Danio rerio: one gene and its partners. The protein of the gene in region 3 purifies or fractionates together with the protein of the main gene of each other region. This does not show direct contact. Links are inferred from orthologs where the notes say so. Each region holds a gene or a part of one and is shown on either strand. Other genes may lie near its edges.

Region 1 (6,309 bases), on a different chromosome or scaffold from region 3:
ATTTTGTTTGTTAAGCGCAAATATTTGTTTCAAAACTATTTCTAAATTCAGTTCTAATTTCCAGCAAACGAATAAATGAACAATAATAACAAAATGTGCTCAAAAACCTGAGTTATATCCTAAAACACATGCTGTGCCCCATATGGTCTAAAACCTGACAGGTGGGTAAATCTAAGCTTGTTTTTAATAAAACAAATATAAATATGGATATAATAAATAATACTGCTAATAATAATAACATTATACAAAAGCAAATTGTTATGAATTAACTGAAAAAGCCTCCCGAGATGAAGAAGACATTAAAGCAGTGGTTTTTCATATTTATGTAGGCTAGAAAATAATATGTTTTGTAATATTTTAATCCTTTATATTTATATCATATATCTATTCTTATTATATCCTATATATATCCTTAATATTTAAGTTTTTTCATATGTAAAGATATTTGCCTCTCTTGTGTGTATTAAGCAGTGTGTAAGCGAGGCGCAACTCTGCGCTGGAGTTTAGACCGGGTTTGTTTTGGTCTAATGAAAAATCTATTATAGTTTCTCAAAATAGCAACGCGCCAGCGGTCCACCTCAGAACGCCTTCCTTTTTAGACCAGAATGCCTATGGGTGCACATATGAGCGCTAATGCATTTACTATTTAAACAGCGAAGCGCAACGCCTCAAAACCACTCTTGCACCAAGCTGAAACTACCAAAAGACTATTGCGCCGCGCCTTGCGCCACACTGCGCCGGGTGTATGATAGGGCCCTTAGTCTCTTGTAATAAATATAAAATAGGATCCAAATCCCAGTGATTTTGAGACCCACCGCAACGTGACATAGGAGTGCGGTTTCCCCCACCCACCGAATTGATTGACAGGCGACAAGTCACTATAATAACATGTATACATGTCTACAGAATGTAAAAACAGCAGTTATTGTTGTGATTGAGTAATGATATGAATAATAAGTCACAGATGTCTCCCTACTGTACCGTTGCAGTATTTACCCAGAGCTTTCTTCTTCTTGCCCACAGGGTTGTCGTCGTCCTCCTGCAGCGCTGTGTGTTTGGAGGATTCTCTCAGCATCACCCCCTGCAGGCAGGTGCGCAGCAGTGCAGCGATGCGGCTCGTCTCCTCTCGTCTGGTGCAGTAGACGATTACCGAGTCCAGAGCTCCAAAGCGCTCACCCTTCAGCAGAGACACCAGAGCCTGAACACAAGGAGACGTTTCAGAAATGCATGGAGCAAAACTAAAATTACTGCATGCACAAAAAATAAATAAATACTGTTGACGGTCTACAGAACAAACCATGGTTATACAATACCCTAACCTGCCTAGTTAACCTAATTAACCTAGTTAAGGCTTTAAATGTCACTTTAAGCTGTATAGAAGTGTCTTGAAGAATATCTAGTCAAATATTATTTACTGTCATCATGACAAAGATAAAATAAATCTGTTATTAGAGATGAGTTATTAAAACTATTATGATTAGAAATGTGCTGGAAAAATCGTCTCTCCATTAAACAGAAATTGGGGAAATAAATAAACAGGGGAGCGAATAATTCAGGGGGGCTAATATATCTGACTTCAACTGTATATTACCAAGATTTTTGGGCAATATGGATGTCTGAGAGAGCTCAAGTTCAACAATGCATCTTGATTATCAGCAGGTTTTCCATTATTCAGACATAATTTGAGAATGATGAGTGATGACAATTCAAAAATGGATTTGGAGTATCTGTGATGGTTTACTGAAAGTAAAAAAACAAATAAAAAAGCTTAAATTTATATTAAAATAAATTTATAAACTAAATAAATATTATGCTTAAGTATTAGATGAAACGCATATAAATATACGAGTACTTAAAATGAAAGAGAAATGCATTTAAATATTTATAAAATGCTTAACTTAAAATAACTACAAAAAATAAGTATTTTTAAATACAATATAATTAAATTACTAACATTTTTGTATGAGACCAAACTCATTGAGACACTGAGGAAGGCATTGTGCCGAAACGTCTGTTTGTCTGTTATCACCCGTAAAACGTAAGAAAAAGTAAAAATAAAAACAGTATGAAGCAATTGAGTGCGAATCATTACCTTCTTTTGTATGAGACCAAACAAAAACATTTAAACAAACAAAAAATATATACATATTAATATGATTCAATATTTGTTTTATATAGTTTTATGCATGTATTTGTTTATTTATGCATGTATTTGTTTATTTATGCATGTATTTGTTTACTTATGCATGTATTTGTTTATGTATGCTCATACAAATGTATGTTAAATATGTATATATTAAAAATTGGTTCTCTTCTGACTAATCTGATTTATTGCTTATTGACAAATGGCTATTTGAGATTATTTCTGACTGTAATTGAAAGAGCTGGAGAAGTCTGGGGTTTGGAAGAGCTTCTGTGCTGTAATTGTATGTTTGTATTTTGTTTTGCTTTTGTCATGTCTCTATGGAACCCCCTTGAAGAACAGATGTTGCATCTCAAGAGGGTTATCCTTTAAATAAAAAATAAAAAAAACAACATGTGAAGGGGGCACGGTGGCTCAGTGGTTAGCACTGTCACCTCACAGTAAGAAGGTCGCTGGTTCGAGTCCCGGCCGGGTCAGTTGGTGTTTCTGTGTGGAGTTTGCATGTTCTCCCCGTGTTGGCTTGGGTTTCTTCCAGGTGCTCTGGTTCCCCCACAGTCCAAACACATGCATAATAAGGGAATTGATTAACTAAATTGGCCGTAATGTATGAGTGTGTGTGTATGGGTGTTTCCCAATACTGGTTTGCAGCTGGAAGTGTGTAAAACACATGCTGTAATAGTTGGCAGTTCATTCCGCTGTGGCGACCCCTGATAAATAGGAGACTAAGCGGAGGAAAAATGAATGAATGAATGAATAAACAACATGTGAATAGTCTGAGCGCACCTGATCTTTGTCTCGGTCCATGGACACGGAGAGCTGGAGGTTGTGAGGAACAGCAGCGGAGCGAACAGCAATGCCGTCCTCATCACTGATGTCCAGGTGTCTGGCGATGTCCAGCGCTGTGGAGAGAGTGGCTGTGGCTGTGAGTCCCAACAGACAGCGAACGCCCAGCCGGTCCCTTAGCACCTGCACAACACAAACACTTCTGTCACCCTGGAGCACAAAACCAGTCTGATGCTGTGTTCACACCAGACGTGGAACGCGCGGATAAATCGCGCTATTCGTGCGTAAATAGCCGCGTGAACATTTGAGTTTACTCGCTTCATTCGCGTGTCAAATTCACTTCAGAACAGACGCGGATTCGCGTGATGGGCGGGGCTTCTGTCTGCCCGAAGACTCTAGCTTCATAGCTAAATGGCTAACATGGATTTTATGAAGGAAATAACAGTGTTTGTGTGCTTTATGAAGACTGAAAAACAGCGTCGATACGTTTAGGGTCGTGTCTGAGTCCACTACATCCTTTCAGAGGTGCATCCAGCTCTGTGAGCTCATAAACTCCTTCAGAAACTGAACCTGGATGACAGAGGGTTTCAGCGGTGCTTCTGACTGAGCCAAGCCGAGTTTGATGAAGTGTTGTCGGTGAAGGCTGGAGGATTCTACAGGTTCTGTACGTCACAATCACGCCCCCACAAGAGCAAGCTTCTGATTGGTTAACGCGGCGCGAATGTACTCTGAAGTTCAGATTTTCGAATTCGAAAGATTCGCGCGAAACGCTCGTTAAGCGCGTCAAACGCGCAAAACGCTCAATTCGCCCCGCGCCATTTGCGTGTATCGCGCCACAGGATGTCTATTCGCACGTTTGCATTGACTTAACATGTAAATCACTCGCGCTTGACCCGCGTTCCACGTCTGGTGTGAACGCAGCATGATGTTGCACAAGTCTCTTTGCCAAAATAACTAAAAATACGCAGCAAGGCTCAAAATTAATGATTTTTGGGGTCCAAAATCACTAGAATAGTAAGTAAAGATCATGTTTCATGAAGATATGTTGTAAATTCCCAACAGTAACTGTATCAAGACCTCATTTTTGCTAAGTAATATGCATTGCTGACGACTTACTCTTTAAACTATTTTATTTCTAAAACTTTAACACATTTAATAAACATTGATCTAAATTAATTTTATCCTAACACAGTTTTATTAGGTTTTAAAAATACAAAAATAGATCATCAAGTGTAAGGCTTTGCTGATTGGGCAGTTTAGGTTTTATTTCTAAAAAAGTCTGAAAAAAATAGCATTTTTATTCATTTAATTAATGAATACATCCATCTAAATCTAGAGTATATATTTATTTTTAATGTACAATGCATGAGCTTCATTTCAGATACTTGTGCACTGATTAATCTATTGTATGAATTATGGCTTTGTTTTAAAAAAAACTAAAAATAAATATTTAGTTTAGTTTAATTTCTCCTTGCATTCAGTCTGTCCTCCATTTCTGTCTTGTACTAGTAATTTTTTTTATGTAGCATAAAGACACAAAGATCAAGTCACATCATTTTGTGTTGTACTTTATATTTTGAAATTATAAAATTTTTAGATTTGATTAAAAATGACAAAAATCTGAAATCTGTATCAGAAAATCAGCTTGAAATGTTGAAAAACCAAGAACGGCGCAGCAGCATTTAATTTTATGCCTTGCTTGCACGCATGGAGGAACATCATTTGGGCTGATTTGAGAGACTCACCTTGCACAGTCTCAGGTAGCAGGGTCTAAAGTTGTGTGACCACTCAGACACGCAGTGAGCCTCGTCAATACAGGCAAAGGCCACCGGAGGGAGTTGATCTGCAGGAGGGAGACACCCTGAGCCCGAGTGACCTCCACCAACCAGAGCTTCAGGAGACAACAGCAGGACGTGCACCTGACCTGCCTTCACCTACACACACACACACACACACACATAGATAAAACTAAAATATTACCTTGGCAACTACTAAAATAAAATTATTTGAAGTTAGTAAAAATTTATACCAACATTGAAAATAAAAAGTAGATTTAAATACATATCTATAAAATTAAATTAAATAAATTACTAGAAAACATTACTAGAAAAACACAGCTAAAACTAAAAGAATGAAATCTAAATAAAATTCTAATGGTCAAATAATAGTGCATAATTTATTACACATAAATACACACAAATAAATAAATAAATAATTGTAGTAAATTAAATAATTTAAATTTAAATTAATTAAATTTAAATTAAATAATAGTGTAATAATAGTAATTAAATGAGAAATGCTACACTGAAATAATTTACAGAAATAAACTTAATAAAATTAAAAATATTACAAATAAAACCAAAAACACAGCAAAATTAATGAAAGAAAAATACTATAAAACAAAAAACAGACATATTTTTTATAAGTGATATAACAGTATATTGATAATACTATAAAAAATAAGGAAAATAAATAAATAAATTATTTCTCTATCCTTCGTTACTGTATGTATAACAAGAAATTGGACATCAGTTGCATTTTATTAGTATTACTCTTCTACCTTCTCAATGGCCGCCTCTCTCTGTTTCGCAGACATGTTGGAGTGGATGCAGGCAGCTTTCAGCTTCGGCGGGAGTCCAGAAAGCTTCACAAACAATTCAAAAATCCATCAAACTACTTTCTATTTGCTGGAAATGAGTCGTAAGCAGTAGTAATAAACCTCCAGCAGTACCTGATCATCCATCAGAGACACCAGAGGAGACACCACCAGCGTGATGCTCTTGCTCCTCTGGGCGTACAGGTATGCAGGCAGCTGGTAACACAGAGACTTGCCCATACCAGTGGACAAAACCACCAGTGTGGACAAACCTGAAGACACACGAAAACATCAACAGATCCAAAAAAAAAAATCTGGTTTACTTTTAAGCACTTCTTATAAAACTCATAGTGATTTAGTTGTAAAAACCCATGGCTATGAGATCTGAAAGCAGATTAAAACTTACTAAGGGTAAGTGTGCCATAATGAACGCACTTTTGACTTCAGCAAAATAGATTTTTTAAAGACTCAAAAAAGCAGTGAACATTTTATAAACATAAAAACAGAGATTTAAAAGAACATTCGTTTCTGTCAAACTAGAATTATGTATTAATTGTGCAGATAAGGGTTTCCGAAAACCATTGTTAGCTAACTAAGGTCGCAAGTTTCGTTGTTACAAACATAGTTCGTTGATTTGGTGTTTCCTAAATTCGTCATTCCAACGAACATTCGCAAACTGCATCGCAAACGTGAATGCTTACAACTACACCTCTGGAGCTGTGGTTAGAAGCAGAGTTCCTGGCTGTGTTCTATTCCTGGTTATCCCCCCTATGCCCTATTCCTTTCG
Region 2 (5,409 bases), on a different chromosome or scaffold from region 3:
TGTAAATTCAGTAATGTTGATCCTGAATCATCATCATTTAAATACAGTGTAAATTCAGTAATGTTGATCCTGGACCATCATCATTTAAATACAGTGTAAATTCAGTAATGTTGATCCTGGATCATCATCATTTAAATACAGTGTAAATTCAGTAATGTTGATCCTGGATCATCATCAGTTAAATATAGTGTAAATTCAGTAATGTTGATCCTGGATCATCATCAGTTAAATACAGTGTAAATTCAGTAATGTTGATCCTGGATCATCATCAGTTAAATACAGTGTAAATTCAGTAATGTTGATCCTGGATTATCATCATTTAAATAAAGTGTAAATTCAGTAATGTTGATCCTGGATTATCATCATTTAAATACAGTGTAAATTCAGTAATGTTGATCCTGGACCATCATCATTTAAATACAGTGTAAATTCTGTATAGTTGATCCTGGACAACTTGGAAAAATGGAGTAAGTTCACAGTACTTGTATAGATTTTTAACTCAAATAGTTTGTAGCAATCAGTTTCCTCAAATGGTTAACTCATTGGGTTTTACAGTACTCAGTTGGTTTAAGTTCTCTTTATTCATCGGGTTTTACAGTGCTCAAATTGCTTCGTTTACTCAAATGGATTAAGTTCACAGCACTCTTTAGGATTAGTTTATGAACTTAAATGGTTTGTTGCAATTGGTATCCTCAAATGGTTTGAGTTATCTTAACTTATTGGGTTTTACAATGTGTGTGTGTTTTAGGCCTCAGGCTCATGGGACGGCACTGTGCGTGTTTGGCTGCCGGAACGTCACACGTGTCTGTTTGTGTTGGGAGGCTGTGAGCGTGTTTGGGTCAGGAGTTTGGCCTTCTCCACTGATGGACGGGTTTTAGCATCTACTGCTGAAGGCGACATGGTAAACCAAACACACATTGGGTTACGTCTTCCCATAGACGTAATGATTTTTATACTGTATATTCTATCCTCTTCCCCGAAACATTTTACAATATACTTGATTTTACTTACTTAATTTAGGACCAGGGCAGGGCCAAGTCGGAGCACTCACTCTGGTGCCCTGGGCTCTGTGATTGGTTGGGGAAATTCCAAATTTAACCAAAACATACCATTACAATAGGCTTAAGATTGGCAAGCAAAATCGGAACATTGTAACCTGCAGAATCTAGGAACTTTAAAAATAAATAATTAAATAAAATAGTCTAAATTTAGTGGTATTACCTGTTGGGGGCAGTGTTAAGGGTAACTCATTACAAACCCTGCAAGTTCTGAAGGAGATGTGTCAAAACATCAGCAAAGGTCAGAAAAAGTGATGTAAAAGTAAATGAAAAGTAACGTAAAGCATTACTTACCATAAAAAGTAATGCAACTAGTTATTTTTTTAGAAAGTAACTCAATATTATAATGCATTATTTTTAGAAGTAACTTTCCCCAACACTGCTTGTGGGTCCATTTGGTCCCTACGAAACTGTACGGCAGGACCACATACACGTAAACATGGTTTACAGGGACACTCCATAAGCGTAATGTATTTTATACAGTAAAACTGCTTATTTAATGGACCTACCTCTCATACCCCTAAACCAAACATTTACAGGAAATCTGTGACAATTTTAAAAGGACCCAGTGAAAGCATTTTAATTTCAGGATTAACCGTTTCCCTTTTAACCACCTTAATAGGGTAAAACTAGGTCTTCATAATCAGAGTTTGATTTGGTTATATGTTTATCAGGTGAGGATCTGGGATATGAGCACTGGGGAGTGTGTGAAGAAGCTACAGGTAGGGATGCACTATCTTATTAGAACCTTTACATAATTGGATAATAAATACTTGCAAAATGTAAACATCAGACCGATATGGAAAATTATGCTGATTATGAACCAGCAATAACTTGCCTGCCAGGTTAAATTACGGAATAAGCATAAATTAATTAAATTTAATGGTCTGACAAGAAATAAAAAACAAACCAGACACTTGTTCATTAACTTTTCAACAAACTGTACATTAAAAAGACATCCGCATCTGCCATACAGAGTTTAAAAACATTGGTGAAAATGCAGTATTAAGCATCTTTGACTGGTGATTATGGCATCATAGAGCTTCATGATGACGATAATGTTGATGTGTGTCTGTGCGCGTGTTTTAGGGTCATAAGGACTCAGCATATGGTTGTGTTTTCACCCCTAATGGAGAGCTTCTGACCAGCGGCTCTGAGCAGCTCAATGAGGAAGAAGAGGAAGAGAACACAACTGAAAAAGGGAGAACAAATCCAGAAGTGACACCTACGCTCTAGATGAGGCTAGTCTGTCATTTATCTGCTCCTGCTTATGAAACACAATGACTCAGGACACATCTTGACTCCAGGGTGAGCGGGGGATTTTATTTTTCAGTGGAAAAACAAAAGTACAGCTTTTTTTATGCCTTGACGGCGAACTTGCGAATGGAGTAGAGACGAGATTTCCTCTGCATCTTCTTAGTCATCAGGTTCTCTTCGTGTTTTGTGAGCTGACGACGGATGGCACGGGTCTTCTTGGGTCTCAGGTCCAAAGGCTTGTACTTCTTACCCTGAAAAGTTAAGAGCCCAGTTTACTTCAATTTTACAGCTTAGACATGATTCATTATGAAATCAGTTCCAAATACCAATTTTCCTGGATTAAACATGATTTGAGGAACACAGAACATGCTTCAATCTTGACTTTATTTATTTGCTTAAATATTCCCAGAAACAACCCACATCACAATTTGTGCATTCAAAATTTGAAGCACTCCAAGACTTTTAAATTGTTCCATCTGTATTTTAGCAATACTACTGAAACTAAAAATCAAACAAAAAGTTCTCAGAGGCGTCGGTGCTCATTGGATAAGAGATTATCCGGAATAAACAGCAAAGGTAAGTCCAAGGCACTGAAAATTTGGAATACATTTTAAAAAGTCTTTATTGATATGGCAATTCCAAGTAATACCCATCTCAATGAAGGCTTTTTCATATTTTTTCCCAAAATTTTTCAGGCATCTTGGACTCGCTGTTTTCTTAAACTAATTTAGCATATTTGTCTGACCAATATAATTCTTGCAGATTTACTCCTTTGAAACTCATGTTGTGGATTTTCCTTTCGCTACTGGTAAAGATTCAGCAAATAAAAATAAATAAAAACTTGTAAAATAGAAAAATTTGTAATATTTAAAAACATAAAAATTGTTCAACCACATTTAATTGAGAACAACTATAATAATAAAAAATATTAAATTTTTGTATTCAGAGAATGTGTAAAAAATTCTGGCAATGGAATATAATCAATGTTTCTGCAGGTTTCACCAAGTTAAATTCAAGACTTTAAGACATTAAGACTTTTATGAATGAAATTTTAGACTCATAAAAGGCTAAAGGTTAAGAAATTTTTTTTAAATGGCGCAGATGGAAATGATTTTTATTTGCCCTATCAAAAAATATATATTATAATTAAATACATTTAATAATACAATAATAAATGAATAAAATTGACTAGATTTCTCAGCAAATACTTTAAATATGGTGTAAAAAAGCCAGTTCTACTTGCATCCATATACATTTCTTCCAACTTAAACTTAAAAAAAAAATTAACAAACATTCAGTTTAAAAACTATAATAAACTAAATGCATGCACAACAATCTGTCCAGGTCAGGGTCTTCAGCAGTAATTACATGGAGCACTTTTAAACAAATCATATTGTAAGGAATTATACCACTATGATAGAGTTAAAAATTACCTTTTTATATACAAATGTGAAAGTTTGGAGATGGATTGTTGATTGTATGGGTTTTGGCAGCATTACATGAACAAAGAAAAATTAAGACCCATTTAAAAAAAAAAAAAAAAAAGATACAAGACCTACAACACAATTCTGTGAATTTTGATTGAGATTTAACACATTAGGACCCTGCAGAAACCCTGATAATGCTATTTTATTTTTAAATATGAAGGCGTTCAATTGAGAATATAAGATATGTTGCGTGAGAGAATTTGTAAAAATTAAAACTTTTCTTTTGACAATTACTTGGAAAAACCTCAGAAATATGAACATATCCTAATATAGAAGCACCCAATATTGGTTTAAACAAGGCTGGTATAATGAAAACGAATCACTGTTGCAGCTAAAGTTTATTCCGTTTTACATGTTTTTGTAACATCCCTTTTCAAAACAACTAGGCTCTCCACTCCAATAGAACTGAACTGCAGCTGAAGCCAATCAGATGACGGGATATAAATGTTCTGTCGGCTTCTCACAGAGGATCAAAATGTCTTTCAAGACTCCACTGTGAGAAGTCGTGTTTCTATAGCAAGAGATTTTCACACCGTCTCCACACGAGCAGGAGGAGTGCTGGGTGATCATCTTGCTGGAGACGCACTGATGTGCTGAGGAGTCACGGCTTTACAATTCATCACTGGATTCCCATAAAGCAATGTTCATTACAGGTTCTCACTTGGTTAAAGGTCAAATTAAGCTAATTTATTAAGATAACAACCACATCTTCAAAAATTTCCAGTAACATAATGGGGTTCCAGATTATATTTGGATTGTCAATATGAAACCGTTTTCACCAGTCTTCATAATTTTTATTTTTTTTATAATACACAAATAGTCCCCTCCAGTGACAAAAATCTATAGATTTGCAGATGATTGCATCATCAGCATTAAACTGACCTTGTAAAACTTCCTCAAGTTCTCCTTCTGTGTCTGGTTGATGACTGTGAGGACTCTGGCGATGGACTTGCGGACAACACGGCTAAAAAGAGAACACAAATGTTAGATCTGCATATTCAAGCGTGTCAATGAATGCATTGATTAATATAGGGCTGCGTGATACTGACAGAGACAGGTTGATTTTTCTTTATGATAATGAAAGTATTTTTCAGTTAAGGATTAGCTGGTTCAGGCCAGTCATGACTAAATGCAACACTAAATTAAGCGTTATTAATGAATGATTCTTTTAAACTATTCAAAAAAACTCCGGGAATAAGCAATTCATATAGAAATATAGAAAGTTGATGACAATCATTAAGATTTACTCAAATGATTATCATCATTGAGATTTACTCAAAATATTATTAAAGGCTGGGCAAAGATTACTTGCATCCAAAACAAAAAGTTCACGTAATATATTGGTGTATTTATTATTTATGTGATGGAAAAACAAAACAATTATTACATAGATTAAAATGCATAAGTAAATTTGCATCTTATACATTTTATATCCAAACAAACACTCCAATATATGCATGAATGCATGTATTCATGCAACCCACAAAAAATAAACATTAGAGACAAAAATTTATCATGTAGATAAATATGCACAGTACATCCACGGTCGACGCTTGTTTTGGATGCAATCAATTTAGCCCTGCACTAATTATCAATTATTATTATAA
Region 3 (6,309 bases):
TGGGGCTCCCAAAAACAAGAAAAAAGGTCTGTCCACCCCAAAGTATCAAAGAACAATGCCTAAGACTGACATATCCAATGGCACAATAAATCAGTTCCTTCTGGCACAGGTTATACCAAATAATCTTTTTAACACATAAAGAGCCCAGGCATTTCTAAATGACTAATCTATGTGCATTTCATCTGTACTTCCCTGAGAGAGCAGTGCGATGGCAGCATTGTTGTCAGTAAAGATAATAATTTTAAAGACTATGTACAGAACAAAAACTGAAGCAACTAAAGATTCAGTACAAAAATTAATAAAGGTTGCTGGGAGAATAGGTGGGCTGATAAGGAGATAAATGTTCCTACAGTGGGTTAAGGTGGGAAAGCGCTGCAAACTGATTGATTAACGAGGGAGAAAAAAAATTCTGGAGGGAAATTATTTGTTTTCTGGGTGTTCAGGAACACCAGCAGCTGTGAGAGTAGCTCGATAATGCTGCAGAACTACACACATGCTCTTTACAAAACCTTTGGAAAGAGGGAAGAGGGGGAATCCAATATCAGGATAACCACTCCGCTCTGGAAGGAAACTACGATAACTCTTTCTCCTTTTCTTTGGTCTCACAGCTGGTTGAGACTCCTGACATGATTTTACACTTTGTTGAGATCCCAAAAAATTTGACATTACTTCAGGAACTTCTGGTATTTCTGATCCTGCACCACCCACCAATGAACTATCACACTCAGAGTTCTGGCTCAAATCTTTTTCAGTTAAACCAGTAGGTCCACTGGTTGCCATTGTAGAGAGACTGAGTCCCGAATCCTCAAAATCTTCTTCGACTTGTATGTCCTGCTTGCTAGAACTGCAGTGGTAAAGAACTGAGGGGATCTCTTCTAGAGGTTCTGCATAGAGGCTTCCAACACCACATCGTGGAGCATGATCTGTGATTGCCCCATCTAACTCTAGCCAGGACTCCAGCCGATGGACCAGCCGCCAACCACTGCAGGCAAAGTGTTCATAGACTTCCTGCTGAAAGACCTCTACAGGCTGCTGAAGAAGCTGAGTCATTGACTGTACCAGCTTAATGAGTGCCATCTCGTTGTAACAGCGACTATTTTCATAACCTTCCTGAAGTCCCCGGTCACTGTCAAAGCCAGCCTCATTGTAATATGGCTCATTGACCAGAATCAGACCTAAAGGTGTAGAAACAATAACAGAACCATAAAAACAAGATCCACTGTGCAGCACTACAATAAATTAATACAATCAACAACATAACTGGAGTGCACTTTTTTTACCTTGTATAGAGATAAGCACTTGAAGTAAACTTGATTTGCTTGTCCATCTTTCAGTACCCTGTAAAAAGATACAAAATCATATATTAAGACTTACCATTATTCAAACAACACAATGGAGAACATCAAGCAACATTCTATTTTAGGACAAAAGTAAAGCAACAACTAAATGGGGTTTGGGTTGGGTATTGTTTGGGGTATTTCAATACCGGTGCTAAATAGATACTTTTGAAAAGGTGCCAAAAGGGTGCCTAAACTGATACTTTTGAGTCATAAAATTATGGTGGATAACTCTGGTAAAATATACATTATATACATTTTTATATATATATTTTTGTTTACCATTTTAATTGAACAGAGTAATTAAAGGGTAAAGTATTTATATTTTGTATATTTGAATTGCATTAATATATTTCTTCTGATCATTTGCTTGTTAACATGAATGCAATATTTGCATTATGTAATTAACATTACATTAGCTTACTACTAACCTGTGGAAAGGCTATCATCAAATTCAGTGAATTTTTTTTTTTTTTAGGGTTAGGGCTTGAATTTATGCGTTTACATGCATACTACACTAATAATCTGATTTTAATATGATTTTAATTTAAGAGTCCTCCATGAGTCCTCCAGTGAATTTTGGTTACCCTTATCAGACTAAAGTTCAAATCTAACTAAACAGAAATGGAATTAAGACGTGGAGTATTCCTATTTTAGTGGCATTATTGAGGTGCTGTAGAGACATGTAAACACCTTAATCAAATTGGTACCATCATGAAGGACTTTGTCACATCTGGCATCAGTATATTCAATACACACATGGCTTTTGATACTCTCTAAACCTATCGAGTCAGTAAAGGACTAAAGAGACCTGCATCACAAAATGCGGAGGTTTTTTATTTATATTCAGCATGCAGTATCAAATTCCATTAAAACAACATGATATACCCCTTGAGGCTTATTCGTCCTTTTCCGCAGCACCAGTGCCACTGAAATTAGGCATCGAAATTCATATGCTAATGCAGTCCAATGCATATCGGTTACATTTTGGTACCCAACCCTAAATGGGGTAGTGAAAATTCAGGAATATGTCAGTCAGAAGTTAGATAAGACAGCAGGTTATCTCACCTTTCCAATCCAGGTGCCAAGAAGGCTGACACAAACCTTTCCATTATCATAAAGGTTAGGATTAAGCCGCCCGCTACACTGAGACAAATAACGGAAAAGAGGAGGAACAGCAGGATAGATATTAGGAAGCTGGATATCAAAGAGAAAGAGTCCATCCTCGTAGGGAGTGCGGTGAGGGCCCTTAATGAGAGCTGAAAAAAGGTCCTAAAAACAGAAAAGCATAATTAAAAATGACTAATCATATCCCTTATTTTAAGGGACATTTTAGAATAATTTTAATAATGTACTAGGAATAGTCTATTTCAAATTAGGTTGTGTGCATGTCACATTCACCATTCTGTCCTCAAAGGTTTTCACCATGATACCATCAGGCAGAGAGGTGGCCAGCAAGGCCATTTCTTTCCTTACAGTGCTAAAGAACTTCTTTGCCTCTGCTGGCTGAAATTCCATTTTTTTAAATGAGTGGGTGTCTATATAAAAAGAGAAAAGTTTTTTTTTTTTAAATTAGAGAATAAAACTATAGAATAAAGAATGTATAGAAAAAAAGGAGTTGCAGTGCTGACTTTCAATGTTACATTTAAGCAAATAACACAAGCAAGTCAGTAATTCCAAGTTGCTTTGTCATGCTTATTTAAAAAAGCAAAACTTACAACAACAAAAAAGTCTGTACCTGGTACCCATTCCAAAACAGAAAACACTTCCCCTTTAGCACTGGTAAAGGTGACACCTGGTTTGCCTCCACTCTGCTGGCACAAAACTGGAGTGTCACTAGGCCATTCAGAACGCACAGGTGTCTGTGGTTCAGTTAACACTGGAGTGATAATCCTTTCCTCTTCTACGGGAGCCTCCATTTTATCTTCTTCAACAATGGCAACATTGTCTAGAGTCTTTTTCAAATTCTCCTGAAGTTTCTTAATGTCATCCAGAAAGCGTTTTTCCTTTGTGGGTTTGATATCAGCAGAAGCTGTGGCAGCAGTTGCAGCTGATGGTTCTGCTGTGGGAGAGGTTGGTGATCCAGTCCAGAGCTGCTCAACAGTCATGTTCTTTAAACTTTCCAAAATCTTTAGGGCTTCTTTAAGCTCACGAAATCCCCTTGGTGGAGCTTCCTTAGTGGGCTTTTCCTCAGGTGTAGCAACACCACCTTAAAATAATTAATATTAATTGTTACAAAGTGTGCACTTTTCACCCAAACCAATAAGCAAGGCATATCTGCAGAAGTTCACAAAATTCTTTGTAGGACCTTGCTCACAGTATCCTGTTTATTTATGAACAGTAGGAAGCAAGATATAATACTTCTACATGAATATACATAAATAAAGCACTGTTTTAGGGTGCTTTCACACCTGCAGATCAATTCTTTTGTTCTGAAACTGGACTCAAATTGTTACAATGTTGCACTTTGCTCTTGGTGCATTTTATTTCACAAAGCAACATTTCTAAATGGAACAAAATAACTGAAACAGGTCACATGGAAATAAACTCTCCTCACATTGGTCAGTTTCAAGGTTTACTCTGCAGAGTCCCATTCACCTGTCCTTATTTTAATTTATGGCAATGAGCAAAAAGATATTATAAGTGAAAATGTGCGCTTTAATTTTGAATGGTGACACCCAGAGACATAGTCACCAAATATAAATCAGACTTCTCATACATAGATGATGGCTAGAATTATGCATAGGCTTTACATGATAGAGATCACTGTCTGATGAAGATCCATGTGACTCGAAATGTTACACGCTTTGTGTCAGCTTTTTAATTTAATAAATTTGTATTTTTGGAGCTTTAGTGTTGCCGCCTTTGCCGTTTTTTGGCTGAGCACCCAGTTTAGAGGGATGTGCGTGCTTTTGTACAGTTTTTCATTTTAGAGAAATAACAGATCAACCAAGACTGCAGTTCAGTAAATAAACAGCTGTTGTTAATAGTTCAGTATGGTTTTAATATCGCATTTGACAAGAAACGCACATTTACCGGTAGGAATGACATACCACCCCTACTCATAATTCTCTCTTCACTGTGATATAGCCTGGTTTGTTAGTTCGTTGGATGGTTTTGCCTTCTCCCTACAATTGATCCACTCCAGAGTTAATTTCAATAAACATGAGACCACCTCATTCTTACAATCTTGGCGTGGATCTATATATATATATATATATATATATATATATATATATATATATATATATATATATATATATGCATGTGTATGCATAGAGAGAGAGAGAGAGAGATAAAAAAAGGAATGTATTTTTATTACTTTTGTGTCTTTACTTTTTATTAGAAAAAAAAATTAGACTAACGACAGATCTTTTGTCTTTGTATGATCACATATATTGACCAAGCATACTTCTGTCTTACTGTGATTCTTTTTGCTGTTGTATATATGCTGGAGTCAGGTAAATGTGTGTGTGTGATCTTGCAAAGACAATGTCAGACACCGTAATATGCTCTGGTCCCTTGTCCGCTTATGGTGTTGACGAGTTATACAGCCAACTCTTATCACTAAATGGCTGGATGTCAAAGTGGAGCCAACTGAATAACATAAGTTTTGTAGACAATTGGCCAAGCTTCTGGGGTAGACCTGACCTGTTGAAGAGAGATGGTCTTAATCCCACCGGGGCTGGGGCAACTCTCCTCTCTAGTAATCTGGCATATAGTTTTAGTGTTGGCTCTTGATTAACTGGGGCCCAGGTTAGGGAGTGGACAGATTCGCTTATTCAGCCTAGCATCCACAGTTTATCTAACTCAGATAATCCACAGCACATAGAGCCACTTAGATATAAGAACATAGAGACTGCGTCTGTTCTTTGAACCTCTAAATAAAAAATAAAAAAAAACTTCCAAACCCATTCAAAGGAAACAATCTATTTGATGTTCATCAAATAGAAAATAAAGGTAATCAAAAGATAAAACTTGAATTATTGAACATCACTCACCTATAAAACTCTTTTTTTTAATCATTTCATAACTCATCTAAAGCTAGATGCACTTTATCTAACAGAAACCTGGCTAAAACCTAACGATTTCATGACCCTAAATGAGTCTTCACCTGAATGATATAATTAAAAACACGAGCTGTGTCTTAAAGGCAAAGATGTTGGCATAATATACAGTAATATTTTTAGTGTTACTTAGCAACCTGACTTAAAATATAATTCATTTGAAGTAATAGTGTTGTATATTTCAGTGTGCAATTTAAACAAATTTTAATCTAAATTTAAATTGTCAACTCTATATATGCCTCCAGGGCACCATACCGACTTTACAAAAGAATTAGCTGATTTCTTATCAGAAATATTTCTGGCCACAGATACATTTTTAAATGCTGGTGATTTTAATATTCATACAGAAAATGAAAAAGATGCTTTAAGTCTGGCCTTCTTAAGGCTGGCTCACACTACAATTTTTTTATAATCCTAAACAATTGTAGCATGTCAGACTGCACGAACATGGCATTCATGTCACATTGTAAGATTTCAGCTGTCATTATGTCAGACTGAATGACAATGAAGATGCAACAAACATGGAAGAAAACTCCCCTGGAGTTTGACGTCATCCCTCACAGCAAACATAAACAATCTGTAGTAGCAATTTTGCACACAGCATGTCTCAATAATGAAACCAGGAAGAAAAAAAAACAGTTTTGACATTTCACCGCTTGTTATTTGATCAGTCACTTAGTGACTGTCTGTGAACATATCAAACCAACAATCAAAAATCACAGATTTTAGCACAGAATTTTAGGAATCTTTGAGGATTTCCCAAATTTGTCTCAGATGACTAATCCGTGGCTGAAATCCCAATGTAAGCAGGGTTTAAGACATCCTAGACTCTGTTGGAGTGGAACAGCATGTCCCAGGGCCTAGTCATCAGCATAATCATACCTTAGACCTAATATTATCACATG
Region 4 (6,309 bases), on a different chromosome or scaffold from region 3:
TCTATATTTTTATTACTGCAGGTAAATAGTTAATAGTAATATTAACTAATACTAAGGTTGATAATTTTGGTTAATTTTGCGAACCTACAAACCATCGCTCGTTAACCGAATATTAATGGTTAACTGGTCAGATTAATAATAAATTATCATTTAATAAAAAGAAAATTGACGTGTCTATTTTGTGTCTGACACATTAAATATTGCATTTTAAAATACTGATTTCCTTTAATATTTAAACAAAAGTATACAGAACATATTAACAACAGTGTTTCCAAGAGCATAGAAAAACAGAATAAACTAAATTAAAATAATACACATAAATAGTCCTGCCCTAGATATTTCTCACTTACATGACAAGTTCAGATTACAAAATGAGAACACTGAGTCCTTTAAAAGAACTCACATATGCTGTTTGTCCAATCATGTTTTTTTCTTCCGTAAAAAAAAAAAAAAATTGCAGGCTACCTCAAATTGATCGCTTCACAGAAAATATGCATTTAATCAACGCATACCCCATCTCTGTTTTTATTTGACTGAGAAATAAAAAAAGACACGACTGCTATAACACGCTATTTCCACACAGAGTTTACTTTTTTCAACTGCGAGCACACAGTGAGCAATGGCAAAAATGCGGCTCGCGGTCGTTAATAAACCATTTTAAAAATGCCCTTCTCAACCCAAAAAGGCGTGTTCGTTGTGATCAGCCCCTTATGCAGGCAAAACTTTCAAATATATATAACATTTTTTAATCATTTAACTGATACCATTAATCGGTTAAAAACGCACCCTTTTAGTAAACGGTTAATCGGTTATAATGAGCATACCTAGCTAATATGCTAATTAAAAATATTTTTGAAGCCTTTTATGCTCACCCAGGCTGCATTTATTTGATTTATGGCCCTTTTCCACTGACTGGTACAGTATGGTACGGTACGGGTCACCTTTATCAGGCTTGCGTTTCCACTACCAAGGGTGGGCGTGGTGTGAGAAAGTTTTAGTCGACGTCATTCTCGCTCGAATAAATATCTATAGTAAAGATGTACAGGTCGTTCATATATCATATGCAGATCCATGACAGTGTGAAATATCCTACTGTAACGTCTGCAATTATATAAAATAATAAATGTATAAATGCAACATGAACACATACAGACTCTTACAGTCTCTGATATGTTACCACTTACAGAAAAACAACACAAAGCATACATTTAGTACTTTACTTTCAAAAACTACACACAACATAGACCACAGTCAGTGCAAACCTCTTATCTATATCTGTAATCTTCACCACCATCTTAGGGAGTAATTCTGTCATTCCGAGTTCATAATAATCCAAAAGGCGATGATAAACATGGCAGTTTGTTCGTGATTCAGGTTGCTGAAACAATTTGCTCCTGTGTTTTGTCGGGCTTCTCCTTTGTTTGTTTGCGTTTCACTCTCGCGCTTGTCCTTTAATCACACACACGTTATTATCATTGACTTCAAAAGTTCGTTATATCAAATATAGACGCAATCGCAAGCTTCCTGAAGAAAGCCAAAACAGCTCGCACTTTTCGGCGGCCTTGTAGAACAACAACAGGACACAGCAGATTTTGTTCTTCTTGGCTTTGTGCCTGTGCATCAAGACAACGACAAGTTTTGTTTGAGCTTGGGTCATCCATTGCTTGTTATTATATGCATATAGTATTACAGTGTAATGTCTTGGCTCCGTATATAAAACATGGCGGTTCCTTTGTTTTCATTATGGCTAGCTCCACACGAGCTTGTGACGTACCTCTGTCACCAATCAGCATTCAGCTGTGCGTGTAGCCCCAACTTTTGGTACCCTTTCTCATGTTTGGTACCCTTTCAAAAGGATGTTGAAAAAGTGGGACGGTACGGTTCGGTACAACTTTTGACAGTGGAAACGGCCATAAAAGCATACTGAACCGTATCGTACCAGACCGTACCATAGAAGTACAATAAGGAGGCTTCCCATTCTGGTGACTGATGGAATGGCATCATAGTGCATCGTCTCATCCAACAATTATACTAATAGTCTCACTTAAACTAGTGAAATACCCAAAACTATTACTAAAGTAGTCTATAATAGTGGGACAACAACAGAAATTAGAGAGAAGAGCAGGAAAACTAACATGGAATTTGTGGAAGTTAAAGGCTCCACAGACAGCAAGGAGGTGCCGCAGAACATATGCATTAACATAAAAATTCAATAAATTAGGGCAATAAATTATATAATAATATTGAAAGATTATATCAGTTTACATTTTTCCCCATTGTACAAATATACAAAGCTCTGTCAAACTCACGTACTTCTCCTTCAAAAGATTTAGGTCACGAAATTGAAGATACAAATTGGTCTGAAATATGTAAAAACTTGTTTTCTAAATGTAATTTGAGTGTCCATGAACTCAGCTATAAATTTATAGGCCAATATATTGACTTATCGCACAACACATGGCAATGAACAATCATTTTTGGTGATCGCGCAACCTCTCTATATTGGATAGTGCCAGTATGGTTAACATTATAGTATTTTATAGCACTTTTTTGTTAACATCTATTTATTATAATTATTATTTATTTATGATACACGTTTTCACAGTCTAATTGAATTGCTAAAATGACTATAAATCAAATATTTTTAAGAATAAAATAATTTGTGTTCTTTGGAAGAGAGTCCTTGCATTGTGATGCTTTTATATTGTCATTCTGGCATTATATAACGAGTGGCATAAAATAGTCTTAAAATGACAATAATATCGTTTATATTGTGTAAATTGCTTCCTTGTCCTTATTTGCAAGTTGCTTTCGATAAAAGCCACTGCTAAATGACTAAATGTAAATGTAAAAGGGAAATAAGTCTTGTCTATTTAATGTGTCCTTACAGAACAAAAGTATTATTTCCTTACCCTAATATTTTGAATAGTAGTGTATGATCATATACAAAAGAAATAAAACAAGCCCCGGCTTGATGGAGGACCAGGTGGCCCATTTAATCTGGGTGTGCCCCAGATTCTGCCTGCCTTCTTGTGCTCCACTGCCTCTGACTGTGTCCCAGGAGGATTACAGACCCGCAGGCTCCCTCACATGGGCCTACTACGTCTTAATCCACACACTCAAACAACAAAGCAAGGCTTCTTAGTAGTACAATTTTCTCACTGTACTTTGCCAAGGTTTTGTGTGCTGTCTCACCTGCTGGTAGAGCATGGCAGCAGGCCGGGCTGTTTGAGCATGTCCCAGGACTCCTGCCGCTCCGCTCTCCCACTCACTGGCAGAGAGGTTGTGCTTCCCATACGGCCCCCACGACCGGTTAATCTGATGAAGACACAGACACATCCATCATTTATTCATTTTCATTATTAAAAAGAATACATTTCAACAACCATCATGTCAATTCACACTGCACCCATGTTGCCAAGTCTATAGATTTTACACTGTTGGCAAGGATTTTAGTCCATTGGGTTCAACTGAAGGAAAACGAATAATATTTTAGATTACCCCCTGGCTGGATCACTTTCAGGTCATTTGATCAGCAGTTAGGCAGGTTTTGTTATACAAACCAGACAACCCTTTAGTGAACTGACAGAAGCCAATCAATGCAGACAAGAGTCTGGTAAATGCCAATGAACATCTACAATCAACAGAAATGACCACCGACTAACACCAACTAATCAGACAATGGTAACATGCCGATACAATGTGTTATTGGACACAAATGTGGCATCTGTTACAGCTGTGAATTGGCCTTAAAAAGACAAATGCTTGTGCATGTTACAATATATCAAAATAGTGACTAAACCTTACCTAACCTTTCAACTGCAATATTGCAATTTATAATGATAGTGTTACTTAAAAAGTAGAGATTTGATTGTAAAGTAGAAGACAAAACAGTTCAGTTATAAAATAATGGATCCCAACTTGACATACAACTTGAAGTACAGTAAAGAAGAAGCAGAAATAAGATCACAAGTTGGAAGGTGTAATTAGAATAAAGATTATTAAAAACTAAATGCATCTCTGGCTTGGGTCTTTAATTCAGGCAGACGTACAACAGTGTTTATACCTGGCTGCTGCTTCCTGCAGGTTACAGTTCTTGTCTGGAGTCAGTCCAAGCTCATCTCTTGAATCCTGAACAAAGAGATGAACATTTACACACATTTAGATTCATAAATCACCAGTTTACATGTCATTTACATATACAGTACCAATACTCACGCAGTATATCATGTAGAGAACTAATAAAATGTGAGATCCCCTTAAAAAAAATGAAAAGCTGAATGTTCAAGTGCTTATGAGTGTTAATAGCATGTCAATACCTTAAGTGCTGCCTCTGCCTGAGCTTTCAGGATGTTGCTCTTGAGTTCGTCAGGAGCTTTGAGCTGATTCAGGACAGGACTGCTGCTCACACTGTTCAAACTTTTCTCTGTCAGTTTCACCACATCATCCTGCACACAATTGCACACAATGTCTGTGTTTTCCTGAAAATAAGCCAGAGCAAGTTAAAGCCAATTAAAGAAAACAATTAAGGTGCAGTGGGGTTTTATTTGAGAAACACTAATTCAGTCTCATTTGAGAATTTCAATAATACATAATGTACAATAAGCTACAGTTGGCCCTAAACACAAACATTTTGAACACATTCAAGTTTCTTTCACTCAACAACAAATGAGTTTAATTTAAAAGTATAAGAGCTGAAGGAAAAATTTAAATTAGAGCAAAACTGCTATAATTAAAAAAAAAAACAACCAAGCCAAAAAAAAAAACAAAAAAAAAAAACAGTAAATGTTTTCTGAGGATGAATCTGTCTGCACTGTGCATTTATGACCTTTGTTTTGAAAATGTAGCTTTAACTTTGTCTACATCTACCTTGTTTTATCATGCTTAAACCAAAATGTAGTCTACGACAACTACCACTAGCTTTTTCTTTTAAAATCTGCAGTAAAGGATTTCCGACATGATATCTGTTATTCAGATGGAGAGTCAGATTTTTAAGGACAAGCTTCTTAATTTTTAGCTACTTGTGGTCAATTGTTTGATATATTTTACAAATCTATATCTCAAGAACAATCCAGTGACCCCTCTGAGTATATATATATATATATATATATATATACATATATATATATATATATATATATATATATATATATATATATATATATAAATATATATATATATATATATATATATATATATATATATATATATATATATATATATATATATATATATATATATATATATATATATATAGTTATATACCCTCTCTAGTTCTGATTGTACGTTTTGTGACTATGATGCAATTTGTTGTTGTTGTCTCTTTTCTTTTCCTTTATATTGTCTTTGTATATCTACAGTATGAACCAATGTTTGTTCTTGTTCTCTGTGTGTGTATACATGTAAATATAAACCTTAAAATAAAGTAATTTAAAAAAAAAATGCAGAAAGATGTCAGTGTGCTGACATATAGCATGATTGTTATTTATAATTTGATTGTTAGCTCGAGGTTCTTTGCCAAGTCATTACTGTCTCCCTCTCTACTTCCTATCAAATAAAGGGGGAAAAATCCTAAAAAAACTAATTATGAAAATAAAAGACAGTCTTTGATTGTGTAGAACAGATAAGTCACATAATCTGTTCAGAAAGAGTTCCCTGGATAATTTTAGCCAATAAATAATTTGGCATTAGATAAATCTCTCTATGAAATTGACATAGCAATAGCCATTAAACCAAGACCTCAATTTGCCTTTACTGTATATAGCATTTACAGTTAACTTTTACTAAGCAAACAAAATTGTATCCTAGTTTACAGTAACATTCAAGCCATTTTAAGATGGATTTGATTTTCCACAAAGTTTCACTATGCAATTTTAATTATCAGATTACTTATAGGGATAAATTTAGTGACAGAAGAAGGATTTAAATTATATAGACCAGGCTGAATAAACCTTAAATGACACTGAGCTGAAAAGCATATAGAGATCACTGACTGCAGTAATAGCATGAGTAATCATCTTCCCTATTCACTATTTAATGTAATATACATCCTGAGGTTAGTGTGGCCAAGAGAGTCTCTGGTTCTTGTATTTAAAGACTATGTGGAGCTTTAATTATATGCTATGGAGTCATACGAGATGAGGAAACATATTGGAAAAACACCATTTACAAAAAGCTTTGTTTTCAGTGTGTGCAAGGGGCTTCTGGATGGCTGCTCTGACCTGGTTGTTCATGTTGAGGTTGACATTGGTTCTGGCTGGAACAGACACTGGAGTGTTTTCAATCTCTAGTTGCTTGAGTCGAGCTGCA

The links. Proteins that work in one complex are often made in the same cells at the same time.
Region 1: the proteins of (E3-independent) E2 ubiquitin-conjugating enzyme UBE2O (region 3) and recql4 purify together in Homo sapiens (affinity purification with mass spectrometry; 3 studies listed by BioGRID, with this or other methods). This does not show direct contact. The link is inferred for Danio rerio from reciprocal best matches to the Homo sapiens genes UBE2O and RECQL4.
Region 2: the proteins of (E3-independent) E2 ubiquitin-conjugating enzyme UBE2O (region 3) and rpl35 purify together in Homo sapiens (affinity purification with mass spectrometry; 3 studies listed by BioGRID and IntAct, with this or other methods). This does not show direct contact. The link is inferred for Danio rerio from reciprocal best matches to the Homo sapiens genes UBE2O and RPL35.
Region 4: the proteins of (E3-independent) E2 ubiquitin-conjugating enzyme UBE2O (region 3) and epb41l5 purify together in Homo sapiens (affinity purification with mass spectrometry; 3 studies listed by BioGRID and IntAct, counting the BioPlex papers as one, with this or other methods). This does not show direct contact. The link is inferred for Danio rerio from reciprocal best matches to the Homo sapiens genes UBE2O and EPB41L5.

The regions. Positions count from the first base shown.
Region 1 is NC_133194.1:3,216,593-3,222,901, forward strand, and holds part of recql4 (ATP-dependent DNA helicase Q4), read right to left. Parts: intron 5,795-6,309; coding exon 5,658-5,794; intron 5,571-5,657; coding exon 5,487-5,570; intron 4,861-5,486; coding exon 4,672-4,860; intron 3,110-4,671; coding exon 2,927-3,109; intron 1,199-2,926; coding exon 997-1,198; intron 1-996. UniProt on the Homo sapiens protein: An ATP-dependent DNA helicase which unwinds dsDNA with a 3'-overhang in a 3'-5' direction. Does not unwind more than 18 bp of dsDNA. May modulate chromosome segregation. The N-terminal domain (residues 1-54) binds DNA Y-shaped DNA better than ss- or dsDNA.
Region 2 is NC_133196.1:7,129,879-7,135,287, forward strand, and holds the end of rpl35 (large ribosomal subunit protein uL29), read right to left. Parts: intron 4,767-5,409; coding exon 4,685-4,766; intron 2,679-4,684; exon of another isoform or gene 2,567-2,678; coding exon 2,417-2,566; 3' UTR 2,363-2,416; downstream 1-2,362. Other genes in the region: wdr38 (WD repeat-containing protein 38), read left to right, coding at 749-901, 1,733-1,780, 2,148-2,294.
Region 3 is NC_133181.1:22,119,959-22,126,267, reverse strand, and holds part of (E3-independent) E2 ubiquitin-conjugating enzyme UBE2O, read right to left. Parts: intron 3,547-6,309; coding exon 3,076-3,546; intron 2,876-3,075; coding exon 2,739-2,875; intron 2,610-2,738; coding exon 2,406-2,609; intron 1,339-2,405; coding exon 1,281-1,338; intron 1,176-1,280; coding exon 421-1,175; 3' UTR 1-420. UniProt on the Homo sapiens protein: E2/E3 hybrid ubiquitin-protein ligase that displays both E2 and E3 ligase activities and mediates monoubiquitination of target proteins. Negatively regulates TRAF6-mediated NF-kappa-B activation independently of its E2 activity.
Region 4 is NC_133184.1:30,553,710-30,560,018, forward strand, and holds part of epb41l5 (band 4.1-like protein 5), read right to left. Parts: coding exon 6,222-6,309; intron 4,482-6,221; coding exon 4,320-4,481; intron 4,132-4,319; coding exon 4,067-4,131; intron 3,319-4,066; coding exon 3,196-3,318; intron 1-3,195. UniProt on the Homo sapiens protein: Plays a role in the formation and organization of tight junctions during the establishment of polarity in epithelial cells.